Drosophila melanogaster: one gene and its partner. The protein of the gene in region 1 interacts with the protein of each later gene in a pairwise test. Each region holds a gene or a part of one and is shown on either strand. Other genes may lie near its edges.

Region 1 (4,459 bases):
CATGTATGGAAATTAAGCATAGTTCATTTGAAACGTATTTGATTTAGCACAAAACGGGTAATACATTGGCTTTTTGTCGGAGCAGCCCACTCCTACATCACAACTGGATGAGCGGCTGACCCTGGCGCTCGCGGTAAGCGGACACATCCGGCATCAGTTCCCTGCGAAAGCGCTCGTGGTTGCGTGCGAACTCCTCCAGTGCTTTGACCTGGCGACGCTGGCGCTCAGCACCGTTGACGGTGCTGTGATTATTGTTGGCCGCTCCCGGATCCCGGACATCGGGATAGAAGACGCTGTTCGCGATGGCAGGAGCGGGCGTGGGACGGCGCTGGGCCCTGGGCGTTCCGCTGGGGCTTCCGTTTCCGTTTGCGTCTGCAAGTAGAAAGTGCCTGTAGCCTGGCTTTGGGAATATGCAACAGATTTTGCAGAGAATGTCGCTTAGTGGCATTCCGCTGACTAAATTAGATCGGCTCTGGGTAAATGGCAACGATAAGCTGGCAATCGAAGTTCGGATTATACTGAGAGCACTCTGCTCTTATCTCTAGCTTCTACTAACGGTAGACTCACATTGTATTGGGACAAACAAACAGCTGGCTTTGGGGCCGAAAAATGCCGTATGATTGTATTTAGGCAAAGTTGTAGTTCTGCGGTTATCTATTGGCCAAGTTTCCCACTTAAAATTAGCTTTTAAAACTCAAAGCCCCGAACATGGTGATTCATTTCGTCTTTCAATTTGGTCACTTCCGTTCAGTTAATTTTTGCATTACTATACCCACAGCATTGTACATCCATTTTAAGAGTACGTGTTCATACCTTGCTTGCTCATTAGCTTCTCCTGCTGCAGGCGCGCGTTGCTCGATCCGAAGTATCCGTTGATAAATGGCAGGGGCGACATGACTACTCCGCCCCTCAGCGAACTGTCTGGTGGAGGAGGAGCGGGTCTGTTGAATGGATTTGTCCGCCTGGGCGGCGGTCTAGGCTTCGCACTCTCCGATGCATTTTGTGGTCCGTCCAAGGCGCTGCCGAGCATCTCTGTAGGTTAAAGAACGCAGCGGATTAGTGCACAGGGATTGTAGGATTAGCCATTGTGCAGTCTCACTGTTTCTTGCGTCCTCCATCTCTTGCAACTGGCGTTTTAGCTCGGCCAGGATGATGCGCTTATACTCGTAGCCGGCGCATGTTAGCGCCTTCATCCACGTCTCCATGCTGTCTTGGTTTTCGGCGGCGAGGATGTAGGTGCGATTGCCGTTGAAGGCGATCTCGAAGCAGTAGTTGTCCACCTCGTTAGACAGCTCAATGGTGCAGCCCTCGACAATGATGAGGCCCAAGGGCTCCTTGTCCAAGCGCGACTCGAAGTAGAAGAGCAGGTTGCCTTTCAGCACGAAGTAGCGTCGCTGGAAGGCCTTGTTGACCTCGCCCCGTTTGTTGAGGAAGCCTGCAAGGCGTATCGGTGTGTGATAAATGGATTATGATTATTAATAGACGAGCGAAAGGGCTCGCTTGCATACCTTCCATGTCGAAGGGCGGCGTTCTCGCGAACACGTACAGGTTCTTCTCGTTGATCTTCATGGCTGCACTGTCTCGGGCTGCATTCGAAGCAAATATGGGTGTCCTATTTCCGCCTTTCGTCTCTTATTATTGTGATGAACAGGTAAAAAAAATGCAAAGCGAGAAACAATTGACGCTGCGCGAACAGCTGATGGCCAGTGCTGCCACACCTCCACCGGTTATCGATTGCTGGGTGCGGAATTTCTAGTTTTCAATGTAGATTGCAAACATAAACGAATTTTGAATCCTGCGAAATGTCGTACTTACTCACGGAAATCGCGCTGGAGATGCTGGGCTACAAGTTCTACGACACCAATGGCACATTCCACCTGACCAATTTTCAAAACAACTCCACGCTCAGCGAAACGCATCCCGATGAGCCCTCCCTGCAGGAATTCATTGAGTACACAAATGAGGAGCTGAAGCAAGACGCGCAACAGCAGGAGCCGCACACGCTGGCGGTGCAGGAGGAGTCGTACCTGGATGCCCCCACCATACCCGAGTCACGCTATGCGCGGCGCACGCCGGCCAAGGCGCTGGCCAAGATAATGGACTACGAGAGCGAGAAGATAGTCAACCAGATCAGCACTCGTCTGGAGGGCTCGGTGTCACGTCGGGCGGCGGCGGACAGTGACGAGCAGCTGGCCGAGATCATCAACGAGGAGAGGAAACTAATCGAGGCGGATGCCGAGGTAATACACAACTTTCGGGAGCTCGTGGAGAGCCGACTACAGCGATTGGATAAACGGCCCTACGAGAAATACGTACGTACCTTCGGGCCGCAATAGGAAGCTGCACGTGCAATGTCAAAGTGCCGCCATTACTTTTAGAATTAATTTAGTTTATAAATTTAATAAATAAGTTACCGCTACAGGGTGCCTGCGGCACTTTCATTTTCTCTTACTGCGCCAGTGTGACCACCCTAGCCCATGCACTGGCCAGCGATAGCCCCATCTATCGGAGCCACTGTCATCTCTAGCAGCACAGCACGAGTAAAGGTCAGCTCTCGTAACTTGTCTCGGAAATATTCAATAATTCCGAGATTGCCGTCAAAATTCGAGTCGTGTACTTCAGCTAACGCTCCCCCTGTTTAATTCCGTTCCGTCTGCCCCCGCAGGCTCAGCTCAGCCCGCATCTCGGCTGCCAATTAAGGATATAAAGCCCTCCCCGGACGGTGACGACAACGGCGCTTGCATAATGAAAATCTGGACATCGGAGCACATATTCAACCACCCGTGGGAGACGGTCACGCAGGCGGCGTGGCGCAAGTACCCCAATCCGATGACGCCCTCCATCATTGGCACGGACGTGGTCGAGCGCCGTGTGGTGGACGGCGTCCTGCACACGCATCGCCTGGTGCAGTCCAAGTGGTACTTCCCCAAGTGGACGCACGCGCTGATCGGCACGGCCAAAACTTGTTTCGCCAGCGAACGCTCCACGGTGGACCCGGAGCGCAAACAGATGGTGCTGAAGACAAACAACCTCACCTTCTGCCGCAACATCAGCGTGGACGAGGTGCTCTACTATGAGCCGCATCCGTCGGATGCCAGCAAGACGCTGCTCAAGCAGGAGGCCACCGTGACCGTCTTTGGTGTGCCGCTGTCCCACTACATGGAGGACCTGCTCACCTCGACCATTAGCACAAATGCCGGCAAGGGACGCCAGGGCCTGGAGTGGGTGATCGGGCTGATCAACACGGAGGTCAAGGGCATCGCTCGCGGCACCGACGAACTTCTGCACAACACACGGCGCTCCATCGACGAGGTGACGGAGAGCGCGCGGAAGAGCATGGACGAGATCAGTGCGCAGGCCGCCAAGGCGGCGAAGGCGATGCACATTACGTAGGTGTCGACAAGGCGACAGTGCAAGGTCGCGCGGGGGCTGTTCACTAGTGAATTATTTAGATGGCGCGCGGTCGTCGTTTTAGTACAACTAATTAATCGATGGCACGATGGACATGGACAGCAACATGTGGGACAGCAACACCTTCCTCTATTCTCAAGCCATTCAATGCATATATTTTATAATTATTACTCCCCTTCGAACGAATCGACTGCTAATGAGTCATGTCGATAAAGAAGTGCCCCCGAATGGCTGAACTGGAAGGAACTCGCGCTAATGCTGGCCCCCATTCATGCAGATCAATATATATATAAACCTAAAGTACATAGTCAATGTAAGCTTTGTAAGCCGCCGCAGATTTCGAAGAACGAGAGGAGCAATTAAACGACATATTTGCCTACGACCAGCCAGTGTCAAGTTCAATTGTTTAATTTTAATTCGCAGCACACTTGTACTGCGTCTTTTTTTTTTGCATTTGCATGACGTTCGCATGTGCAACTGCAGCAATTTTAAGCATTCTGTGTATAAATAAAACCCAAGAAAGTCGATTTGTGGGTTTTTTCTCTACATACATACTTGATTAGCGATTTTTGGCGTCTGTTTTATTCGCTTATCATCAAAAGCCCACGTGCCTAGTGGCTCAACAACTGTGTACCTAGTTAGCATCGCAGACATGGAAACTGATATGTCCCTTATCTGGTTCAACAGTTGCGAAGAATGTGATTGAAGGGGAAAGTGGGTGCTTGGAAACAAGTTGATGATCAAACAGCAGGTGTTCTAGGGACAAGGTGAAATACTTTTACCTAACTTATCAAAAGAAGTAACTTATTTATTTAGCAGTTTTCGTAAGCTTTTAATCAAAATAAACAAGTAATCCTTACGAATTACAATTAAACTATTTGGTTCATTGAACCCGTGTAGCATTAACCCTTGCAAGTTACGCAATGGGTACAATTTACGAAAGCTTTTAAAGCTCAATTCGCCTAAGGGTTAATTTGAATTCCAGCGGCAGTCGCTGTGCAGCACTGGCCAACCGAACGCTGTGGTGGATTGAGCCGCGAAATGAGGG
Region 2 (5,019 bases), on another chromosome or scaffold:
TGGTGGGCTCCGGACTGCTGATGGTCGTGGGCGATGTGATAGCCCAGGAGTACGAGTACAGGCGTGGATTGCGGCACCAGGACCGCTTCGATACGGATCGCATGTACCGGATGTTTGTGGCTGGCGCGCTGCAGGGACCTCTTCACCACTACGTGTACAACTGGATGGACAGGGTAATGCCGGCTCGTACGCTAAAGAACATCTTCAAGAAGATCCTGATTGACCAGCTGGTCATGTCGCCCGCCTGCATCGTCATATTCTTCTATTCGCTTTGCTATCTGGAGCGCCAGACCCTGGACGCCACCAATCAGGAGCTGATCTCCAAGTTCCCGTATGTTTACATGCTGGATTGGATGACCTGGCCGGCGGCGCAGTACCTGAACTTTCGCTATTTAGACACCAAATACCGGGTGACGTTCGTCAATGTGTGCACGGCTGTTTACAATGTGCTCATGTCCTACATGAAGCACGATTTCGGCGTTCACCTCCCACTGGAGGAGAAGTTAGTTGCGTCCTCCGAGCAGAACCTATTGCCTCAGAGTTCAACGACGAGTCCCGATGCCCAAAAAGCCGTTTAAGACAGAACGAATAGGAATCGCGGAATAGGTGTGATATCGACAAGAAACCAAATTATTTAGTTATTGTGAACACGAGGGTTATTATGTAAATAAGAGGCTCTTAATACCAATAAATATGCATGTTTAGTACACAACTGGTCCTTTAACATAAATGCTTAACCAAGAAATAAGATGAATCATTTTAAGTTATTGTTAGTCGATCAATTATATTTATTATACCCAAATTAAATTAAAACTACATGAAGTTTTAAATTATGCGTATGACTAAATCGAAACATATCAAATGCAACCTCTAACTATGTTATCAGCTGATAAAATAAATATTTGTTTATTCGATAAGCGAAATACACCAGTCTAGACTGGTGAACTTAAATATAATAGTCGTATGTATTAACCAAACACACAATGTGTAAGATAGCTGGAAAATAGATATTTTATAAATGTTACCTCCTAGTTATTTCACTTAATCACAATCGTCTCCACGGGCTGACTGATTCCAAAGATGTGCTGCGCCAGCATCAAGTGTTCTTGGTTAATGAAATTCGCAAGCAAAGTGATCACGTTCTCATTGCAGCGGGCAATCTGCTGGCGTGTTATCGCCCTGAATTCATCTCGGGCTCCTTTGTCCGCTCCACGGGTGCCAATTCTTCGGCTTTGGGAACCACCAGCTACAGTGGTCGCAGTAGGTGTGCCACTCGAATTTGGCGAGCTGGTCAACTCAAAGTTATCCTCCTGCTGGGAGTTCCAAATGTGCGAGAGTTCCTCGAGCAAATCGATATTAATAATGTAGGTGGATAGGGTGCGCAGATTGAACGATTTCCGTTGCTTGATCAGGTTAAATATCTGTTGAGTGAGCAGAACATCGTTGAGTAGATTAAGTTGCTGCAGCACTAGGATATCCCCTAGCAATCGATCTGGAACGTTCGGTTCGAAGACCTTGCGACTCAGTCTGCTGATGATGGCTCCCACGCAGTACTGAACCAACGCTGATCGAGTGAGGGGCAGAAAAACCATGTGCCTGTGGCCCTTCAGCGACATATTCTCCAAAAGTTGACCCTGGGTGGTGGGGAGTTCTGACAGGATCTTTAAAATGCACTGGAAGCCCTGGAGCTGTGTGAGAAATTCATTAAGGTTTACCCATGTGAAAAAACTGGCTCTCTACTTACCGTCATGCTGCCTTGCATTAGATTAAGGCTCAAGATCTGCAGGCTTTGCACCAGACTGCTCTGGGTGGTCATGTCCGCCATAAGCTTGTTGGCCTCATCCCGGTGTCCGAAATATATGGCCAAGTCGAAGAGGAATCTTGAGATCCAAGGCGCCAAGGGAAGAGCCAGCATAAGTTGACTGAAATCCCTTTGGAACTGATCCGTATTGAGCAGCTGCCAGCACTGGGCGGCGTGTAGGAAGGCCTTGGATAACTCTGGACTTATGGCCGTGGTCAGGGAGAATTTCGGTGGCTCCATGCTGGGCACTTCGGAGCCATCACCTTCCGGCGACCATTCCATGAATCCTTCTACCAAAACATGAGTTACATCGGCATCCTCGATCCTCAGCTTACAATTTCGTATATAACCATGAAGGGAGTAAATGAACAAGGTGGTGGCGTAGAACAAAACCTGGGAGCTGCCCGCAGGACTGCCGGAAAGTATGTCCACCAGCTTTTCCCAGTAGACGTTCTGGTTGACATGCTTGCTGAAGGGCAGGAAGGGCTCCCAGCCCATCATCTGACCGCAGATCATCAGCACTTTAAAGATGTTCTTCCAGGCATCTGCTGTATCCGATTCATCCATTATTTGCCGCAAATAAAACTCCAAGGAACTGGTATAAAGTCTGCAGGCCAGATTTGGCGAAAGTTCCGGGGGCTTATTCTGGATCATGGGCAATACCTCCTCCACCAGAATCCGCTGATAGAGATCCGGTTCGGTTTTCATGCCCTCCGCCAGCATTTCCAGTAGCCTGGGAGCCTGAGTTATGGCTGATTTGGGAAACTTGTTGAACATCAGTATGTAGATATAGATGCGCTCCAGATTATCGGCACTGTGGTTGATGGTGTGCATGAATATGTTGTGCTGTACTTCCGGAGTTAGGTGCTTGTACATTTTTACATAGAACTCGTGTTCCGGCGTAGTTTCATTCTCATTTCTGAGGGCATTTGTTAGGGAGTTGATCTCCTGCCACAGCTCCGTATGTTGATTCTGGAAATTGGTGGCTCTGGAACAGTAAAAGATAAAGTAACTGGAATAGATGTGCTATTGTATACTCACATAGCACTGAAACACTTTGCTGCCTCCTCATAATTCTGAGCATCGCGTTCCAGTAGATAAGCCTCGTATTGCAGGTTGAATGCATTGGGATATAAAGTTTTAGCTGTGATAATCCAGGCCATGGCCGCGCAAGGATCGCTTTTCCGGAGTCTTTGCGCCTCCTTGACCATGTACAACTCATTTTCCTCTTGGCTCGGCATGTTTCTTCGGGTATATCTTTTGTTTTTATTAATTTTCTCCTAGTTTCAACAAAAACAAACCATTTAGCCGGCTATTAGGAATTTATTTACTAGCACTGGCCATATTTTTCTATTAGGGATGGGAACTATTGGATCTAGAAACTAGCTAGAGATTTCAATTATTTTCAAAACGCTTGTTTAGCATAGTGCGCTTGTTTTAGTTACATTAGGGCTGGCGTTATTGAGTCATTTCAACCTAAAACGCTTTTTATATCAATATATGTTCGGTGAATTCGAAGATATTTAATTTTCAGCTTGAATATAGCTAGCTTAACAAGCGACTCTCTCCTCATCTGCAATCGATAACAGCAGCGGCAGTAGTGTTGCATAGTAGCTGCCAGCCAGCTGATTATTCGCTAAATAACCAATTGTTTTTTCGCGAATTTTTCAATTTTCTGTGATTTTTGCGGCTACAAAATCGAAAACTATATTAAGCAAAATACATACGAACCTGGCAATTGCGACTGCTTATGTAATATCTGTGACAAACCAAGTTTTCTAGAAAATACCTGCCGATGCGTCGTTGCGCTTTGTTTTTGTTGCGTGAATAAGAATCGTTGGATATTTGTACATTCGCAATTTGTTGTAAATATGTTTAAATCTTAAGTGCCACAGCTTATCAACGAAGTAATATAATTGCGATTCCCTCCTTTTGTTAATCAGTCCCACTATATAGCACTAAATATAAAAATTGAGTGCACAAATCGCAGTATGCCCCATTTTCTGATTGTCATTCCGAAAACAAACAATGACAGTCGCATTGAAAGTTTAAATCAAATCGTTTCCCAGAAAATTCGTACGTAAATATCTGAAATGTCAGACACTAAATCCGAAATTGAGGGCTTTATAGCCATTCCCACGACATCGGGCGAACAACAACAACAACAGCCGCAACAGCAGCAAAATGAGCAACAAGTGGTCGGCACAAAGGACATTAAAGCTCCTGATCAGGGTAAGTTGTGTAATATTTATAGAAACTTACTAACTTACTTAAGAGCGCTCTATGTAATTGATAAATGGCCTGCAAATAACAATCGTTCATTAGTATCTTATCATATTCTATATCGTAAAATAATCTTAAAAAATACGATTATTGTATATATTAATATTTAGTTGAGAGTATCACTGATATCTAGAAGTTATTCATAATCTATAATAGAAATCATTATTTAATACATATCACTTAACAATAGATACTCATAAATCATGATAAACAAGACAACGTACACTAATTCATGCATTATGCTAATAACAATCTGCTCATTCTATAGATATTTTTTTAACAAATTTATTTGTACCTGTTTCTATTGTTAGTTTATAGAGCAATGTGTTTTTCATCCACGAATTATGCATATCTATTTACTCATACCTTGAATCACTTAACTTGAATGAAGTTCCTTAGACTTTCATTCCAAGATCGGCGACTCTCTTCGATGAATCATCAAGTTAACCCCTTCGAATAAAAGTAACATAAATTCCGAAAAACCTGTTTGATTATTTTGTAAATTGCTTCAAAAATGTGACGTTATATTTATTGTAATAATAGCCGTTTTAATTGTTCAGTTCCAACTTGTTTAACCTAGTGTCTTATCAAATATATTATGTAAACACAAAATAATTCTAAGTTTGATTAATTTTACAATTTATTTTAAAGCAAATTGAGTAGTGAATTAAATATTTATGTCGTGTTAGACATAATTTTATTTACAATTTCTTTCGTGATTTGTTTTTGAATGCAAGTGTTAATTTACTTAATTTATTTAAAGTTCTACATCAGTCTTAAAGTCTTAACGGGAGTTTTGAGTTTACTTCTGTGTTCTATATTTTGTAGTGTCAAAATGTATTGTATATAACTACCGGTTTGAGTTGTTGCTTCCGAAATCCGCACATAGCAGGTTTGTTTCTGCAATTTTCAATCTTCTCCTAACCAACCAACAG

The links.
Region 2: the proteins of slmo (region 1) and IntS10 interact in a two-hybrid assay, tested with the Drosophila melanogaster proteins (one large-scale study listed by BioGRID).

What each region holds. Positions count from the first base shown.
Region 1 is NT_033779.5:6,045,987-6,050,445, reverse strand, and holds slmo (slowmo), read left to right. Parts: upstream 1-1,739; 5' UTR 1,740-1,802; coding exon of another isoform or gene 1,803-2,336; 5' UTR 2,337-2,665; coding exon of another isoform or gene 2,666-2,707; 5' UTR 2,708-2,745; coding exon 2,746-3,393; 3' UTR 3,394-3,795; downstream 3,796-4,459. Other genes in the region: IPIP (inositol phosphatase interacting protein), read right to left, coding at 98-372, 814-1,032, 1,100-1,435, 1,509-1,569; CG34179 (uncharacterized protein), read left to right, coding at 1,803-2,312, 2,666-2,707. UniProt on the Drosophila melanogaster protein: Required to regulate peristaltic movement and also for germline proliferation in males and females.
Region 2 is NT_037436.4:3,804,835-3,809,853, reverse strand, and holds IntS10 (integrator 10), read right to left. Parts: upstream 3,145-5,019; 5' UTR 3,043-3,144; coding exon 2,843-3,042; intron 2,790-2,842; coding exon 1,745-2,789; intron 1,689-1,744; coding exon 1,038-1,688; 3' UTR 764-1,037; downstream 1-763. Other genes in the region: CG32262 (uncharacterized protein), read left to right, coding at 1-578; ntc (nutcracker), read left to right, coding at 3,895-4,033. UniProt on the Drosophila melanogaster protein: Component of the integrator complex, a multiprotein complex that terminates RNA polymerase II (Pol II) transcription in the promoter-proximal region of genes.